Linked DNA regions of Arabidopsis thaliana. Each later gene encodes a partner of the first gene's protein in a complex. Each region holds a gene or a part of one and is shown on either strand. Other genes may lie near its edges. The genes, in order: ARPC3, ARPC1A, CRK and AT5G65274.

Region 1 (4,696 bases):
GGCCTGAGTGTTGTTGCAGACTAACGTCTATAAGACTGAAAATATAGCTACATTAACATTTAGGACATTATAAATTTGAAGATGGTGATCATTTGCAATTTTGATTAAATGAGCTGTGCTCCCTGAGGTTTTTTAACCGATAGTTTCTTCATTGCATTAAAAGCATCTGTGGCAGAATAGTTTTTGATAAACTTCTTATTTCTGCCATTTTAAATTAACAATAGATTATTGCATGATTGCAGACTGTCCCAAGGGAAGCTTTTACCTACTTAGATGGCCAAAAGAAGTTTGTCGAGATCGACCATAATGATTTGTATCCATATCTACTAGTCAACATCGGTTCTGGCGTTAGCATGATCAAGGTTCATTCTGGTTTTGGTTTCTCTGATCTCTCTGTTTTTGTTTGCTACTACACCAGCGATGTTGCTTACTCAAACTCGTTCTTATATAGGTCGATGGAGATGGAAAATATGAGAGGATAAGTGGAACAAGCCTTGGCGGAGGCACATTTTTAGGTCTTGGGAAGCTTTTAACAAAATGCAAGAGGTGACTTCTTAGTTAAGTCTATTAATGTAAGTTTCCTCCTTGCCTGAGTAACAACTAATATTTCTTAATTTCAGTTTTGATGAGCTGCTAGAGTTAAGCCACCATGGAAATAACAGAGTAATTGACATGCTTGTGGGGGATATCTACGGTGGAACAGATTATTCAAAGGTAATTGATTGATCCTGGTTTTGCTTAAACATGTCTGAAGACTTTTAGATTAGATTCATATGTTAATATAACCTTTTGTTCATTCTTTTTTGATAGATTGGTCTCTCCTCAACAGCTATCGCTTCCAGCTTTGGGAAAGCGATTTCTGATGGTAAAGAACTTGAAGATTACCAGCCAGAAGATGTGGCAAGGTCCCTTCTAAGAATGATATCAAATAACATCGGTCAGGTCAGTTCCTCTGAACATTTTAATGCCATTTTAAAACATAATTTGAAGCTGATGATATTCTGATCGAATTGTAACGTTTTCTACTCTCCCTCCAGATTGCTTATTTGAATGCTCTCAGATTCGGTCTTAAGCGTATTTTCTTTGGTGGATTTTTCATCCGTGGGCTTGAGTACACCATGGACACAATCTCCGTTGCTGTTCACTTTTGGTAAATCCAAAACCGAAACTACTTAATCAAATCCCTCCATATCTTAAACTCATGTATGTCCACAAAATCTTTATCGAACTTTCTCATTTTTCCTTCTCATTTCAGGTCGAGAGGTGAGGCAAAGGCAATGTTTTTACGACATGAAGGGTTTCTTGGAGCATTAGGCGCTTTCACGAGCTACAATGACCAGAGCCATAACGATTTAAAACCGCATCATCACACTGTGCAAAGAGCAATTCTCAACTGTTCAGGTCATAACTTTCGGCACATCCCAGTAACTTCAAATTTAAACGAAAGCGAGACCATAGAATGTAGCATCAATTTAGTTTAGTTATCACCAGTTGTATTATTATCAATTCAGTGTAGAAATATGTTTAATCAACTGTTTGAGTCAAGAGCTGCTCATTACTAGTTTGTTGAATGTTAGACACATTTATGTAAGATGATTCACGTATTAATATTCATGTATGACCAATGTAACTTGTACTATATATCACACAAAGAATCAAACACACTTATTAAATCTCACTAGAGCTTCTTTAAATCTCGGTTTAGTCCGGTGCATTGCAAGTATTTGTGCATTTCTGTTTAGCCTTTGTTTACTAAGTTTTGTATATTGCTTATGTAACAAGTTTTTATCCATTCAGCAGAAATAACAGAAACTTGACACTTATATGGACATTTTGTTGTTGTTGTTGATTGAAGATCAATGTTTAATCCGGTCAAACCACTTTGATGTAACCCGAAACTGAACCGAAGAATGAACCACATCATTATTTGGTTTTTGATGTACCTAATTCCAGTGGTCGATAAGAAACCAAATTTCAAATAAAAAAACCGAGAAACTCAAAAATCAAAGCTAAGCCGGATTTAACATTGGTTACTCCCGGTACGAAGCAATGTACCACATTCATGGAGTCTTACACGTGTCATCCATACCTCTCTGTCTTCTTCTTCTTCTGTTCTTCATTCCTTTTTCCTACTTCGTCGATTTTCCATTTCAATTTCTTCTTCAGCCGGCGATTAAGCTTCCCAATAAGACAATCTCCGACCGCCGCAACATCACGAAGGATTCTTCACCGTGTGAACTTTACGCAGTCTTTCCTCTTTCGTAGACGCTAAAGAAGTTGAAATTGATCTGATCTCGTTTAGGTAAAAACTTTTTCTTTCTTCATCTATAGAATCAATCGTTCACCTAAATTCTGATTCTTATATATCCAAGATCTTAATTGCAGCAGATCTACCTTCGATTCGATTCTTCTCCTTCCTGATATCGCTTCATTGTTCAAATTCGGCACAAAATGGTACGGATCACCATTTTCTTATCTTTCAATTAGCATTAATCGCATTTCATTTTGTAACTAATGAAATTAGATTAGATCTTCGATGAGATTTTTTTTATTTATTGAGCTTGTTTCACTTTGATTTGGTTCCATGGAGTATTTAACTCTGCGATGCTCATTTTGTTTCCTTAATCCTTGTGATTAAATGCTCTGATCAGGTTTATCACTCGAGTTTTGTGGATGAAGAAGGAGTAACAAAGGCATGTGGTTGTCCATTGCTTCCTCTCAAGAGTCATATAAAAGGTCCTGCACCTGTTTCAGAACAAGGTAATTAATCAAAACATGTGATTTTTTTCAATTGTGCGATCGAAAGCTTTTGTAAATTGTTGGTTTTATATGCAGATAAAACTGATATAGTAGACGAGGCAATCACCTTCTTTCGTGCTAATGTCTTCTTCACAAACTTTGATATCAAAAGTCCTGCTGATAAGCTCCTTATTTACTTGACGTTTTATATAAATGTGGCGTTAAAGAGGCTTGAAGGCTGTAGAACATTGGCTGTTGGAACTAAAGCGATTATCAACTTGGGTTTAGAAGATATTCCTGTTCCTGGAGAAACTGGCTTTCCTTTCCCAGGTCTCTTTTCGCTTCCGCAGTCCCAGGACGAAGCAGGTATATATACATGTCTAAACAACTCTTATTGATTTTTCTTTCAGTTACTTGGTCCTTAGCCTTGTGTTCTGTTTGGCTTCAAATGTCAGAGCTTTTCAGGAACTATCTTAAGCAGGTTCGAGAGGAGACAAGTGGGAGGTTACTGAGTGTAGCATATAGAGCCAACGGGACACCAAATAAATGGTGGCTTGCATTCGCCAAGAGGAAATTCATGAACGTGGTCGTCCTATGATAAAACAGAGAATCACTGGTAAGTATCACTTTAGTTTACTGGATCCAAAATCCCACGTGATCTTAGATCCATCTCAAACAGTTCTACATTTCAAGCTTAAAATGTTTTTCTTTTGATCTGATTTTTTCATAATTTAGCAGCTGGTTATTCTTCCTTGCTTGCTGCCCATTACGAATGAGGGAATCCAAAGCCACTGGAGATCATGAGAATCGCCACCTTTAGCTTCCTCTGCATAGGTGTTAGCCACTGGAACCAGGAAGACGAAAATTTCATCTGAGAGCAGAATGCTCTCTCTCTGTATCTCTTGATATATACATAGAGTGTGCCAATGTATTGTTTCATACAACTCCTGTTGGAATATAAAATTTGTTGATACAAGATCAAAGTTAAATAAGAAGATTCTTTTATTATTACTTTAGATTAACAGAGTTTATCTCCAAGGTCTTAATCAGATATCAGATTGTAACCACACATTCTCACTCTTAGCAATTATACAAAGAAAGGAAATAGCTTTGCATACACATAGTGACATAACTGTGCCTGAAGCTACCTATCAGGCCTTGGTGCATACGTTTCCTTCACAAACCCAACCATCTTTGGACTCGTCGCCACCAACTTTCACAGCCTCATCGCCGTTTTCTTTTGTGTCCTCGTTTAAAGCACACTTGGCGTGAAGATCAAAGTCGCATTCGTCGCAATGGTAAGACCATATTGTCCCTTCTTCCTCACACTTATCGCATGTGTAAACCTGAACACGAGTTAGTTCTAGCTCATGTTCTTCATGGAGAACATGTTTCACCTTCTTAGGCCAATCTTTTGCTATCTCATCGTACTTAGCTTCAATCTCCTTCAAACGTTCCTCAGTAAAAGGGTAAGCATCGGCTCCATGGGCTACGACAAGGTCCCTTGCTTCTTTTGTTACGGTTTGCCCAGTTGGTCCCAGAGCTGCTAGCATTGGGATCCCACCAACCTTAAAGGTTTTTGCCAAGGATGCTTTCCTAGGATCACCAAATGGAAGAGCCAGCCACGGCATTTGCGAATAGTACTCATCGAATGATTCCTGGTCACGGTCACTGGAGATGAAGATCAATTCAAACGCTTCATTCCGCTCCTTTATCTGCTTGTATACTTCAACAAGCTTTGGTGTAAAAGCGCGACAAGGAGGACACCAGTGAGCTGAGAAGTACATAAGAATAGTCTTCCCCACCAGATCCGAAACAAGCACCTAACAAAGAAAGCCAAATTTTTACAGGTTGGTTCAGATCAGCCTTGAAGAACAGTGTTTAGAAAATGAAGAGGGTATCGAGAGCTATACCTTTGCCCCATCTTTTCCGAGAACGTAGTTGAGATCACCTGAGA
Region 2 (6,967 bases), on another chromosome or scaffold:
GCAGGTGAAAGAGATAGCTGGATTTGTGTACAACCCAATAACAGGAAGATGGTTATTGTCAGATGATATTAGTGTCAACTATATTGCTTATGGGACGAAAAGGAAGGATCTTGGAGACATATAATCAATCGTTCCAAGTCGTGTTTCTCTGCATATCTGCTTCTGAGTTACAACTCTAGTTCATGCTTTAAAAACTAGGTACTCTGGAAGTTGCTTAGGACGAGGACAGTAGTTGTTTTGCAATAAGTGAGAAACATTCAAAGAATATTTGGTCTTCTGAATCACACTTCTGTCATCTGATAGAAGATTAATGTTTGTCGATATCTCGTTTTGTGGTAAATATGGCATAGTTCGGAGGACCAAAGCTTTTTGCTTCTTCTCAAGAACTTGAAAATTTTGCGAAATTGTTGTGTTTGGTTCAATATGGACTCCTTTCGACACAAAGCTGATATTACTATATATAAAAGGTATTACAAGATGCTAACTAAATGAATCAAATCATGAAGCCAAGAAACTTATTAATACCTGCCCTTACACAAACCAAGAAAATAAGGCCTTTTATTGTGGCAGTTTACAAAGTGAAACAATTACGAAATTGAAAAAGTAGTTTAAACTTAAGTAAAACCTTGCTTGTGAGCCAGAATTGTTTTATTTGTGTGTTTATTAAAACTGATTGCCAAGTTCTTGTTCCATGTTCTCCAGATCCCATATGGCAACTTTGCCATCCAATCCTATAAATAACAAACCGTTATGCGAGTAAATGAAACTGCTGGTTTGTTTTTTGAGAACTGAATCGGCTAATTCCATTTTGTATTAGTGACTGACCTGAAGTGCTGAATCGCATTACTTTAGGACTCCCTGCTTTGCTCAGAGACACAATGGAACTGCAATTTTCAGGTAACCTTCCATGTCAGGTTCTTAATAGACAATCGAAGTAAAAGAGTTAATGAGGCAGGTTTCTGGCAAATGATTTGGTAAAAGAAAAGTTAGCTTAAGAAATAATTACTTTATGCAGTTATCATGAACACCTCCACGTGATTCAGAAGCATCGTTGGCTGTTGTGGACTTTGATTGACTGCCGTAGAATTTTCCAAATGCTTCAGAAAACTGAAAAGATAACATAATGAAAAAAAGGATTAGACAAAACAGTACAAATAATGCAAGTGGAAAGTTCAAAGTAGTAAACCCAAGGAGAAAAAAGGAGCAACTACACTAACCCGAAAGATTACTACTATCTTAGAGGAACACTTCAGGAATAAGCTAAGTTCACTCATATTTTATTCAAGAAAGAAAACATGGTATGTACCTGCGAACTGTAACTGGAATTTGAAGATGCTGCTTTCTTCTCTCCGATGTATCTGATAAAGCTCCTGCAGACCATAAACAAAAACTTGTAAACAAGGCAATCATCGGTGTGTGGATGATTTCAGAAATAACTATCCGGCCTGAGAGCTAAGGAGAATTAATGAATTGAAGTATTTGATTGTCTGGAAATAGCTAAGAAAGAGAAAACTAAGAGTTACACACCATATTCCAGTATCATCTGAGGCAAATACCATCGGGTTGCTGTCATATCCCACGCCTATCACCATTTTCTCAGAAATAAACAGGACCTGAAGATAGCAAGTTCCCGATAATATATCAATTCAGGATATAACACATGAGAACACTTTCTCAAAAGAAAAAAAAGAGTGGATGCTGACCCACATCACGAAGAGGCAAATCTCGAAATGCAACGCTTTGGGCTAAAGGAGAAGGACCAACATCATCAACAAAGTAAATCATGGAGCTATGACCTATAAACAAGATTGCATGAACAAGGGAAGTGAGACGGAGTGTAGTAAAAATTATGCAACCAAGGTGAAGTTCCATTTTTATAATTCCAGTAGAGCTCAATGGACAAACATCTTAAGTTTTAAGGATATTCTGACCTACATAAGCTAAGGTGTTTCCACTTGGAGACCATTTAACACCAAATGCCCAAGAATATGAGAGATCAAGCTGAAGAATTTGCTGTTTCAACAGAAAAAAAGCTCCCTAACATTAGATAAGAGAGTGAGTAGAGGGAACATATATATGGCAGAAGTGGTATACTATTTACTAAAAGAAGGAAAGCCAGCCAAACGAGTCAAACCTCCCCAAATTTCGTTTCCGCTGGTGAGCCTGCTTTTGAATCCCTGTATCAGCCCATTGAAAGACAAATAAGAAACGGCCTCATGTTTGAAAAAATGTTTTAAAAGTAGACGTTCAAGTAATGAGCATACTTTGTGTCAACTCCTTTGATAAATGTTGAAAATACCCGACATTTTCCATCTGTTGATGTCGTTGCCAGAAGAACCTAATGCATAACAGACAATCAGAGAGCACAGCAACATAAAAAAGCATACGAGAAAAAATGATTTAGAAGATTAACTAGTTTGTGGAGATTGATATTCTATTTTTAGGGATCATGTACTCTATACTCAATCTGGTGGCCAACTTATAGAATATTTTTGGTAGAGAATGCTTTTACAGAGAGCCTGCTTATTATTTTAACTACATGAACTACAAGAGGTTCTGTTGATTGCACGTACATTATTAGGATGCCAAGCAACAGATGTGACTGAAGATTCGTGCCTTTTCCGGATTAGCTTACTGACCCACCTGAAAACAGTAAAGCCAAGCAATGTCAGATACTAAAAGTTTACATGAAAGTATCTTTCTAAAATCTCTAAACAATACACAGTTATGCATGCCAAGATAATAAAAAATATGATTGGTGCTAATATCATGCCAGTACATAAGACAAAATAATATCATTACATAGACCAACAACACCATTCGTAGCAAAGAAGTCAGGAAACTTGCCAAAGAAAAAATCAAGGACTAATAATGAGAATTAGGAGCAGAAGAAGAAAATACCAGTTATTCTCTTGCTCATAATAGCAAATACAAACAGTTTTAGCACCACTTCCAACAGCAAACTTGTTCTCTATGGGTATTGAGCAAAAAGATGAGAACATAGATTAGAAGCTGTAGAAATTATAGGAAAATTACACTACATATTACGGAAATTAAGCTTAAGAACCAGAAAAATTAAACATTTACCTTTGGGGCTCCATTGGACACAAAGTGCAGCACGATTTAGTCTAAGAATAACGAGAGTTGGTACCCATTCAGCTCCTTCCAGGCTCCAGACGTACCTTCAAGAAGCATTCTAAACTCAGTTCAACGAACGAAAAAAAGTGAAGGACTAAGATTAACAGGTTTGGAGTTTCTCAAAGTATATCAAAGGTAGCAACTTACGAGTTCCTGTCATGAGAAACAGTGACGATTTTGTTGGACTTTGAGCTCCAATCTATTCCAGAAACAATTTGGTCATGCTGCAACAAGACGAACAATAATCATGAAGTTGTTGTAAGGGAGATTCAAGCTGTCTATACAACACTTATCAGCGACAAGTGATCAGTGAAATGAGAATACATAAATATACGAAAGTAAGGAATTCCCAAGAAGAGAAAGCAAAAGGAATGCAAGTTCAAAAGTTACAGAAAGAGAGGGAGAGAGAAAGGTTTCACCTTTTGGAGGACATGTAACCTCTCCCAGTGGTCTTGAGACAATGATTTATAGATATGAACTTCAGTGTTGTTAGGACAGAGAGCAACCACTACCAAGAAAAACGAAACAAATGTCAAAGCACATAAATGGTTACAGGCTTTAGTACAGACGTTAAATCATTTGTAACAATAGATTTGGTTCATCTGTTTAGAAAAGCGCATCTACTAATGTACAATACTAGATACCAAGTGTTCCTAACAAGAGACACCGACAAACAGACATATAAAACATTGACTCGAAGAAATTTGATTACCAAGATGTATAAGAATAACACAAGTCAATTTAGTTGTATCATCTATCTATCTTCCCAGCCAAACTAACTATAGATAGATCCTCCTCATTTATAATTCTAAAACGGAAAAAACGACGGAAGAGAGAAAGAAGAGAATCACAAAATCAGAGAGGTGTTAGAAACATACTGGAGAGATCAGGACTCCAAGCATGGCAAGTGATTGACTCAGCGAAACGATGAACATCCACCACTGCCATGAGTGATCCTTGTTGTCCCAAATGTGTTGTAATGAAGACAGTCTTTTCTCTCAAATTGACATCCACAGATTCCTAAAACGGAGTCGTACGGTGAATAGATGGACAGATAATTATGATGAAACGCCGATGAGATCCGGAGGTGGACGACGACACAGTCGCAAACGTGAAGTGAAAGAGACAGATGTTTTTTTTTTTTTTTTTTTTTTTACTAAAGCCCCAATTTTTATGACCAGATCAATTTCAGTTTTACTTGGACCTTTATTTTTGGGCAAACCAGCATAATAATAAGGAAAAAATCGAATTATTTTTATTTTTAAATCTATAGTTCTGTAATCTGCATTAGTTTTGTTTTTGTTTTTTCCGATAAAAGGCTTAAGTTCTGCATTAGTTAAATACATTAATGTAGATAAATGGATTCGATCCAATTCATCCATGTAAAAATAGAACTATATCTCACTATGAGTCTATGAGTATAGAGTAACTTATAAAGTAATCTGAAATTTTTAAAAAAATATTGATTAGTAACTTTTTTCTAAAGTAATGTTTTACTATTAGTTTTTTCGTTTTTTTTTTTGTATAAGCTTTTGAATCATTGACCCAAGTCAAGGGGCTTGCACCACTATATTAGATTTTGATTTAGCATAATCCAAAAATAACTTAACCCCAAATCATTGTACAAAGTTATTATATAAGCTACGCTAGTTATCCCCTCTCGTGGAATAAGGTTTACTTCTAGTTTTGGTCTTCCTCTAATCTCTCACTTAGAGATTCAGGACACATATTTAGTCCATTCAATTATAACGAGATCATAAGGTTATATTCTTGCAAATTCTTCTCTTATAAATTGTTCGACCAGTCAAAGAATCTTGTTCTCATTTAAACATTTTGGTTGACAAATGAATTTGAAATTCTAAATAAACATGTTTATGACATAAAATAAATGTGTAAAACAACACAAACATGGTTAGGTCATAAATAAATGTATAAATCATATAATGAATTTAGTTTTGTGTCAAAACCATCAAAATTTTAAGAATGAAACAGCTCAGAATACAAGAGCTGGTTCCAGCTATCCGGGACTCCAGAGAGACACCAATGGCTACAATCCGCCATTCTGTGACCGCCAAAACCGTATACTGAAGGATGTCCATCTTTCCTTAGCTGAGACATCAATGTCACATCCATTAACCGCGCCTGATTCTTCATCGTCTTTATCACTTTCGCCACCACCATCTCGGCTGCGTGCGGCCCAGCCAGGTAACTCGATCCCATAATCGGCTTTGTTTCTCCTATGCAACTGCCTTTGCCACCTTGTTTCGACCATTCCCTTGCCCTGTAACATTATGTACCATTATTGTTAACAATATCAACATGAAATTATTTGGTTCTAACGAAAACTTATAGACTAATCCAACATATATCAATCGTGTTAAGTTTTTATCGTTGATTTAATGTATGTATCGAATAAAAAAGAAGTTATATAGAGGTAGAACTTACCGGCCATGGTCCGGAGAAATACCTTGGAAGAAGACTTTGGTTTTGGAAGGATCAATATTTTGATCAATCCACTTAGCCCAAGTCATCATTGCTTTCTCATATGCCACTAACCGGTCCATGTCTTTAACCGTTACATTCCCGGACATAATTGCGTCCCATCTGCAACCCCAAATGATTACATTAGTTAGATACTAATAAGTCCATAGTCCATAGCAAAATATGTTTGACGACATAAAGATGATTTTACGGTTGTTTTCGGTCTGTGTGAAGCCACCAATGCCAAGAGTTGAAGACCAAAACGTCTGCGGTTTTCCACAACGAACCACTCGAGATTGAGTCAAGCTTCATCACTCGCTTCGGTGGGGCTCCGACTATATCCACAAGAAACGCGTTTCTTGAAAACATAATCGAAGAATTGTAAGCCTGCATTGCATGCATTTAAATACGAACCGAACCAGAATTATTAAACCGGATCAATACCGGAACGAGTTTGATAAAGTTAGAAAACGTTACGGGGAATGAGAAGACGGAGAGGCCAGAAGGGGAACGTGTGGATGTGGAATTGGCTTTTGGTGCGGCGTTGTGGAGCAAACACGTGAGAGATTGCCATTGGTTTAGACTCAGTGAATCTCCTACGAACATCAGTTTCTTCCCTTTCATTATCCTTCCCAGAAAATCTAAGCCGTTGAATCTGCACCATTCATCATTAATCAATTTAACACTTCTATATCATTCATAGGAGAAAATATTCACGTTTAATAATTTACCACAAAATGGTTGGGTACTTCCGTTAATTTGTAACATTTTGTGACTTATTGTCTTTGTAACAGTTTTATTCCAATAAATGATAGTTATGGATTTATGTACCAGCTGCTTCGGTTACTAAATTCTATAACATTCTTACATAGTTACATATGAACTTATATGCGACATAAAAGGGGATTTGAATCCAATAATAAATCCTAATTAAAAACCTATTAATCCCCCTCAAGAAATACTAAAGACGTTTTTGAAAATGAAATTTTCCGATACAATGCTAGTTGATGCCCAAGTCGTCCTGAAGTATAGTGGTACTCATAGCAATTCACCTATGACTAGTTACATGCCTTAAAAGTTAAAACGCACTAGATCTACATATCGAAAAACGTTATAAATACCATAAAGAAAAGATGGAATCACCTGGGGAGATTGCAACCGGAAGGTTGCCATCGATACTTGAGGTACTCGCTGTCAGGGCGACCATTGGACTTGCAGTTAAACTGTCTCTCGATGAAAGGGCAATTCTTGGAATCATAGAGAGGGTAAGATTTGTCATAGACCCAACTTCCTTGATAAATATTACAAAACTTTCTAGGTGGTAGCCCTAATGATGAACCATTCGCAC
Region 3 (3,956 bases), on another chromosome or scaffold:
TGGTCTACGTTTTGACTTTTTTTAGTGGAGTTTATACTTTTTATTTTATATAGTTGCAATTATTTAAGGGTTTATTCTCTTTTTCATTGTTAGGAGACCCATTCCTCTCCTTCTTCTTTTTTCTCATTTTTTTTCTTTCAAGAAGATTCATTCTTGATTTGGAAAATGCATGACATATATTTCAAACCAGATAAAGTGAACCATTTCAGTCTGAATTCAATTGAATAATGTTAATATGAAGACCAAGTTGAATTTTAATGTGGGGAATTAAGCTTCTTTGGAAGGTACTAACCAAATTCAAATATAAATATATTCTTTGAAAATTTGAAACATAATTCATTATGAAGTAAATATTAAATAAAACAGAAAGTGTTCCATACTGAATTATAGTTTCATTTTGAATACTATTCTATACAAAAATAAAAACAATAAAAAAAAATTGAGAGAAATATTAGCAATGAAAACAAAACTATCAAAGAATTGTTTTTGAAGTTAAAAAATATAAAATTTCAAAGTTCGAGGTCGGTGGCTAACTAACATGAAAAGCGCCGAGCAACTTGTGATATGTACGAGTTGGACCAAGTCGTGACGACTTTTTTAATAAGCTTAAGATCCAATTATTTCTCAAGAAAAACAGTAAAACGTACGCCAACATATATTAACTACGACGACAAAATTCTTGGCCTTTAAGAAAGACTAGTACACGATCAATCCCAACGATTAAACCAGCAGACGAGTAACCATATGTAGGGTACGAGTTTCTCAACCACATCTCCAACTTTTCAGTAGACGATCTAATTATGTTTAACCACTAGAAGCCGACACCATAAACATCCATCCGAGGTTATCGTCTTTCGAAGAGTTCCTAACGAGCATTCATGAAACATCATTCTCACTTCTCCTCCCACTAAACCGACTTTTTTCGGATGTTATTTCAAATTTGGTTAATTGCTAAATGATTGACCATTAATTCGACCACGTGATTACACAAAGAGACGTTTAGATCCACTACATTGGTGCGATGTGAAGTGATCACCATGCTTTAGTTTACACGTCCACTTTATATAGGTTTGGCAGTTAAAAAAAAGAAGTTTTATACATAGTTCTATCAAGTGGTCTTAGACCGAATCTTGGCAATATATTTGTTATAAGACTACCAATATCATTAATGATTAGAGAAAGTTAATGTTAAGTTTCATCAGATTCTAATTTAAAACCAATGGGTAATGATTGGATTGGTTGTGTTCCATATATACTAGTGTTAGCACTTAGCAGTCATGAGTGTGTTTACTCCATTTATAGTATACTTTCGATGTAGGATCCTAATTAGAATGATAAAGAAACATTCCAAAAGAGTATTATCAAAATGCTCTTCGTCTATCCATACAAATATAATGAGATTTGGGCAGAAACAACCATTTTGTTAACATATTAGGGTCGAGCGCAGAAAAAAATATATTTTGACCTGTGTTAATAAAATAGAATAGGTTGCGATTTTAATTAAGGAGGTTAATAAATTAAAATCGTAAAAATGATACCAAAATGGTAACAAAATCGTAAAGAAAAGTTCATTAGTATAAATATAAAAAATTCGGTCCAACAAATATTACTATTAAAAATTTATAAGAGAGATTTATAATAAAAAAAAAATTGTTATACCAAGAAAGAAAAGGAGATTCTTGTATTGTAACCCGTTTGTGTGTCTTTTTTAGTCTCAGATTTGTTTTAATTTTCTATGACTTAGGATTTGTAAGTCTTTTTTGGATTTCTAGAACCTGATCGAGGAAATTTCAATGAATATAGTGTAATTGGTTTGTTTGGATTTTGTTCCCTTTGTTTACCTTGTTTGGTATTTGGCTTCGGGAGTGTTCTTGTACTCATCGGCTTATGTCTCCGGAAGTGGTTTGTACTTGCCGGCTCTTGTATTTCAACTTGAATCCTATCGATGAAAATCCTATTGACAAAAAATGAAAAAAAAAATGAAGCTTCCATCATCCATCATTCAGTGGCAGCATAAGCATTTAAGACTACGTGCCGTTTAAGGCCAAGACAAACGGCACTCAGTTCCCTTTTGAAATGGTCAAATGGCGATTGAGTTGTTTTCCTCTCTCTCTCTCATTTTTTCAATTAAAGAAGGGAAAGAGGGGAAATCTCTGATCGGAGAGAAAGATCGAATCGAAGAATGGCAGAATTCGTTGAAGCTGATAACGCAGAAGCAATAATCGCGAGGATCGAAACCAAATCGAGGAAGATTGAAAGCCTACTCAAACAGTAATATCAGACCTTGGAGCTAAACCCTAAAGTCTTCTTTTGTTTTTGGTTTAATCCCTTATCGGTGTTTTAATGTGTGCAGGTACAAACATGTAGAAGCTTTGAAAACGGCTCTTGAAGGTTCGCCTCCGAAAACTCGCGATGAACGTTGCAAGGTCTCTCTCTTTCCGAAACCATCTTTTTTTTTTTTTTTGATTTACTGAGCCAAAAAAAACTCAACTGCAGTCGGCTAATTGGATAGTTGTGCACAGAGCTTTAATGGCCATTAAGGATATTGACGGAATGCTCAATGCTCTTGATGTCGAATATTACGACATTCTCATGAAGTAAGTGCAAAGTTGGTTTTTTTTTTTTTTGCTGTAATGCGTTTTGTAATATGTATGAATTGGAAAGCTCTATCCTCAGGCTGTCTGTGCTCTTTGATAGAATGTTTTTGCTTAAAATTCTCAGGTACTTGTACAGAGGACTTTCTACTGGGGACCGACCCACCTGCGATCAGTGCCTGAAGATTCACGAGAAACTCACTGAGAGAGCTGGTCTCGGTTGCATTCTCCGATGTCTTACTGATACCATCAACACCGTTTGATCCATCATTCCCTCTTATGTATTATTACTTGATGCCTTGATGTTTCCAATGTGCATATTCTCCTTGAGGAACCATGTCTCACATTTATCAGTTTTAGACTTGTATTTTCATTACCAAACAGTTGCTTGATAAATGATAACACAAGTCATTCCTAGAGCTCATGTGTAACATAATTCCCGGATCAGCTGAATCATAAATACGAAGACCAAGTTGTGATTAAGTAATTTTAGGGGGGTGTATTGAAACCAGAATCTTTTAGAAGATTTGGTGGAATTTGCATTCTTCTACAGACCAAATCCATTCTCGATTTTGCCGGTGAAGAACAGAGACCGAAAGCTTTTTTCATGGAAGACGAGGGGAGGAGGACAATGAGAATATGTCGCAGAGATTTTCTGTGAATCTTTTTTTAAATCAAATCGTTCAGAATAACACCTACAGGTGAGATTTTTTCATGCTTATTTTCAACTAAATTTTTTTGCCTAAGTCTCCCAGAATCAATGTTAAATGTTTTTAATGAAATTGTTTTGTTGAGTTTAGATAACAGTGGATTTAAGATGTGTTTTATAAATTCTTGAATGAATAACAGAAGATTATAGATTCTTTTGAGTGATTTTATATAAATTCCAATTTCAATAACAAAGGATTTGAGAAAAAAATTACAAATCACAAGTTGAATACAACCATTCCTGATTCACTGAATGTTCATAACTCGAAGGCCCAATATCGAACTCAGCCCATTGAAACTAAATTCATTTCTAAACTTTCAATGTAAATGCACTCGTCATACAAGAGTAAATGTTCACATAGTTAGTCATTGATTTAAACAATTTTACTCTTTAGATTTTTAAAATTTTATAGGATTGTAATAAACCAGGTTGAATTCAAATGTCAAATAGCGTTAAATAAAAGTTTAGATCTTTTTTTTTTTTTTTTTTTTTTTTATCAACGTTAGTACAAGAAGAAACAAGAGCAGCTTTTGCCAAAGCATCAGCTTGATCAACGTTTCCTTATAAAAGACAAAAGCAATTAAGTTTTTACTTTTACAGTCTTTTTGATCAAATTAAATGAGTAATTGAGTAGTAGTAGTAACAAAAGGGAA
Region 4 (3,209 bases), on another chromosome or scaffold:
TCACAGATACTGGCTCGTTATGCTAGAGACGAATTCAGTTTGGATTCTAAGGCCACCATCGGCGTTGAGTTTCAGACTCGGACGCTTGTTATCGATCACAAGAGTGTTAAGGCTCAGATCTGGGATACCGCCGGCCAAGAACGGTAATCTCCGACCTCTCCCGGAACTTTTAGCTACTTCAATTGCTTGAACTTAGATCTCGTAAGATTTTACTGTTTCTCTAGATCTGGAAGATGATAGGTCTGCTTAGGATTTCGAATTCTAGTAAAGCTTACTGATCTGTATACGAAATTGGGAGGATCTGAAGTAAAATGGTAGAATCATTGAGAATTTGGGATTGGGATTTCAAAATTATGTATAGACTAGAATTATGTATATTACTATTCCAATGTTATTAAGCTTCTATAATTTTATGATTGGTACAAATTTGGACACTTTTGTTATACATTTCCCAGTGATGCTTCATCAACTTTATACATTCACTGATCTTTAATGAGTAAGCTAACCACCACATTTCATGCTTATCATATGCTTACATTGTATATCTTTCTATATGTGTGGTATTGGTTGAAACAGATACAGAGCAGTAACAAGTGCATATTACCGAGGAGCGGTTGGGGCGATGTTGGTGTATGACATAACCAGACGCCAAACCTTTGACCATATCCCAAGATGGTTAGAAGAACTACGTGCTCATGCAGATAAGAACATTGTGATAATCCTTATTGGGAACAAGTCAGATCTTGTGGATCAACGAGCTATACCGACAGAAGATGCGAAAGAATTTGCGGAGAAAGAAGGTTTGTTCTTCTTGGAGACATCTGCATTTAACGCAACCAATGTTGAGAGCGCTTTCTCCACGGTTTTGACTGAGATCTTCAACATTGTGAACAAGAAAAGTCTGGCTGCGAGTGAAGATCAAGAGAATGGTAATCCCGGGTCGCTTGCTGGTAAGAAGATTGATATTGTTCCAGGTCCTGGTCAAGTGATACCAAACAAGAGTAACATGTGTTGTAACTCTTAGATAAACCAATTCAATTCTTGAATGTTACTTGATAACAACAATATATAGATGTTTTAAAGACTCTGATTGGGATATTTCTCCTATCTAGAGCTGTGTGATTCATTTGTTGCTTAATGAGCAGTTTTTGTGGGGTTTTGGGGTGTTGAATCCAAGTATAACAAACCGATCTTAATTTGATCTTAAAAATTGGATATTAATTTGATCAACATGTTTTTATTCTCTCTACATTTGTAAGATTATTGTTACATTTTTGTTAATTACAAATATATACCAGCAATAACAACTTTTCTATTTCTCTTGTTACGTCAATGTGAAAAAGTAAAAATTAAAAACTGAAGCATCCGATTTTAATAATTGGTATCACAGTTCTGATAAATTCTCACTCGGCCGTTTTACCACTCGATTGCTTTATTCTCTCTAATTTCAGGTAATCTTCGAATCCTGCTTGATTCTTCAATCTTGTATGATTTGATCAGAAAGTTCAGGATTACTGATCTGATATGATGTGAGAAATCTGCGTACCATCGGCAATGGATTGTTTTACGTGATTAGAATTGATTTTGTCGTGATTGTTACTTCTCTTTTTAGCTTTTTATGGGGATGACAAGTTTTGCATTGCCTCCTTTGGTTAGTAAACTCAAATCATATGTTTCTTATGCAGCAAGTTGTCGATTTGAATGAAGAAATGAAATTAATTGATTAGGTTTTAGATAATTTTGCTGGAGAGTGTAGAGAAAGAGAGAGATCCAATGGCTGGTGCAGCAGCATTTGTTGAAGCTGATAATGCAGAGGAAATAATGGCAAGGATCGAAACCAAATCGCAGAAGATTGAAAGCTTACTCAAACAGTAATAACCCTAAAGTTCCTTTTTTCTTCCAACTTTCTCAGATGACCTAGGCTATAATTGTTACTTCGTTTTATTCAGCTACAAACATGTCGAAGCTCTTAAAACGGCTCTTGATGGTTCGCCACCTAAAACTCTCGACGAACGTTGCAAGGTCCTACTGTTTCCTCTACCATGCACATAAGTAGTTTGTTCATGATCAAAAAGATTGTGTAATTTATGATAAATATCTGTGAAATTGCAGTCAGCTAATTGGATAGTTGTGCACAGAGCTATCATGGCGATAAAGGATATCGAAGGAATGTTAAATTCTCTTACTGCCGAGTATTACGACATTCTCATGAAGTAAGTCTCTTGCCTTTTGCTCTGCTAGCTTTTAATTAGCGTGATGTGGAAGCAGTGTTTTGTTTGCTTAAATGGTGTGGATCAGGTACTTGTACAGAGGTCTTTCGACTGGTGACGAACCCACATGCGAACAGTGTTTGATGATTCACGAGAAACTAACAGAGAGAGCTGGTCTCGGTTGCATTCTCCGTTGTCTGAGTGATACTACCAATACCGTTTAAACCATTAAGCTGATCTTTTCATGTTACTTTTATTCTTGTTTTCTATGAATGTTTCTCCCAAATCTCAAGTTACTTCAATAGATTATAGAAAGTGGAATAAACCGGAGAACCTAAGATCCTTTCACAAAGAGATAGTCATAAAAGAACCTACGGTTACCTGGTTTTAAATTATATCTCATAACCAGGAAACTTAGAATCTACCGGCGACACAAGATCGAACCAGAGGCATACTGGTCCAGCTAGTCCCCGGAATAGCGAATAATCATGTTCTGTTTCTTGGCTTGTCATATTCACGAGCTCTATCGCATCACGGCACAAGTAACTCGCAAACGCTTTTGCTCTCTCTTCATATACAACATCTCCGGTTAAGCGATAAAGGGATAAGAAAGCGTAGGCATTACCAGCAACTCCATCAGCTAAACCTACCTTCTTCACCAAGCCACTCTTCCACACTACTTCTCCTGCTTCAATGGCTGCTTCGCGGAAATCCCTTTCCTTGGGAAACACCTGAGATGCTTTAGCCAAAGTAATGGCCATGCCGGTTGCTCCATGAGCCCATTGGACTAGCTTATCCCTCGGATTCCCTTCGCTGCACGGGTAGTTTCCGCTGTTCGGAAACCTATTACTCATCATATACCTCAATGTCCCTTGAACATCTTTAACATCCTCTTCCGATAGTGGAAAATGCAGCAATACATACAAGATTCCAGCTAATCCATTCGCAGCACCCCAAAATCGCGTTCCGTGAAACCTAAAAGCCACAAAAGTAAGATCA

The links.
Region 2: ARPC3 (region 1) and ARPC1A share a complex: the UniProt entries of both Arabidopsis thaliana proteins name them as parts of the arp2/3 complex.
Region 3: ARPC3 (region 1) and CRK share a complex: the UniProt entries of both Arabidopsis thaliana proteins name them as parts of the arp2/3 complex.
Region 4: ARPC3 (region 1) and AT5G65274 share a complex: the UniProt entries of both Arabidopsis thaliana proteins name them as parts of the arp2/3 complex.

The regions. Positions count from the first base shown.
Region 1 is NC_003070.9:22,263,438-22,268,133, reverse strand, and holds ARPC3 (actin-related protein C3), read left to right. Parts: upstream 1-2,057; 5' UTR 2,058-2,302; intron 2,303-2,372; exon of another isoform or gene 2,373-2,385; 5' UTR 2,386-2,451; coding exon 2,452-2,454; intron 2,455-2,651; coding exon 2,652-2,760; intron 2,761-2,835; coding exon 2,836-3,105; coding exon of another isoform or gene 3,106-3,137; intron 3,138-3,194; coding exon 3,195-3,337; 3' UTR 3,338-3,355; intron 3,356-3,477; 3' UTR 3,478-3,749; downstream 3,750-4,696. Other genes in the region: PANK1 (pantothenate kinase 1), read left to right, coding at 243-362, 452-546, 621-714, 811-942, 1,038-1,150, 1,256-1,481; AT1G60420 (DC1 domain-containing protein), read right to left, coding at 3,891-4,562, 4,653-4,696. UniProt on the Arabidopsis thaliana protein: Functions as a component of the Arp2/3 complex which is involved in regulation of actin polymerization and together with an activating nucleation-promoting factor (NPF) mediates the formation of branched actin networks.
Region 2 is NC_003071.7:13,150,566-13,157,532, reverse strand, and holds ARPC1A (actin-related protein C1A), read right to left. Parts: upstream 4,745-6,967; 5' UTR 4,636-4,744; intron 4,361-4,635; exon of another isoform or gene 4,295-4,360; 5' UTR 4,087-4,294; coding exon 4,017-4,086; intron 3,647-4,016; coding exon 3,558-3,646; intron 3,363-3,557; coding exon 3,286-3,362; intron 3,183-3,285; coding exon 3,088-3,182; intron 2,972-3,087; coding exon 2,902-2,971; intron 2,644-2,901; coding exon 2,574-2,643; intron 2,339-2,573; coding exon 2,265-2,338; coding exon of another isoform or gene 2,246-2,264; intron 2,178-2,245; coding exon 2,135-2,177; intron 2,038-2,134; coding exon of another isoform or gene 2,014-2,037; coding exon 1,932-2,013; intron 1,797-1,931; coding exon 1,708-1,796; intron 1,614-1,707; coding exon 1,528-1,613; intron 1,371-1,527; coding exon 1,307-1,370; intron 1,108-1,306; coding exon 1,007-1,107; intron 885-1,006; coding exon 826-884; intron 732-825; coding exon 664-731; 3' UTR 501-663; downstream 1-500. Other genes in the region: COQ3 (coenzyme Q 3), read left to right, coding at 5-124; TBL43 (TRICHOME BIREFRINGENCE-LIKE 43), read right to left, coding at 5,116-5,419, 5,584-5,742, 5,831-6,006, 6,097-6,274, 6,763-6,967. UniProt on the Arabidopsis thaliana protein: Functions as a component of the Arp2/3 complex which is involved in regulation of actin polymerization and together with an activating nucleation-promoting factor (NPF) mediates the formation of branched actin networks.
Region 3 is NC_003075.7:733,594-737,549, forward strand, and holds CRK (ARP2/3 complex 16 kDa subunit (p16-Arc)), read left to right. Parts: upstream 1-2,059; 5' UTR 2,060-2,182; coding exon 2,183-2,271; intron 2,272-2,353; coding exon 2,354-2,426; intron 2,427-2,496; coding exon 2,497-2,597; intron 2,598-2,721; coding exon 2,722-2,857; 3' UTR 2,858-3,372; downstream 3,373-3,956. Other genes in the region: AT4G01703 (uncharacterized protein), read right to left, coding at 659-772. UniProt on the Arabidopsis thaliana protein: Functions as a component of the Arp2/3 complex which is involved in regulation of actin polymerization and together with an activating nucleation-promoting factor (NPF) mediates the formation of branched actin networks.
Region 4 is NC_003076.8:26,083,527-26,086,735, forward strand, and holds AT5G65274 (ARP2/3 complex 16 kDa subunit (p16-Arc)), read left to right. Parts: upstream 1-1,773; coding exon 1,774-1,871; intron 1,872-1,949; coding exon 1,950-2,022; intron 2,023-2,066; exon of another isoform or gene 2,067-2,112; coding exon 2,113-2,213; exon of another isoform or gene 2,214-2,298; coding exon 2,299-2,434; downstream 2,435-3,209. Other genes in the region: RABA4a (RAB GTPase homolog A4A), read left to right, coding at 1-143, 577-1,024; GCL1 (GCR2-like 1), read right to left, coding at 2,603-3,185. UniProt on the Arabidopsis thaliana protein: Functions as a component of the Arp2/3 complex which is involved in regulation of actin polymerization and together with an activating nucleation-promoting factor (NPF) mediates the formation of branched actin networks.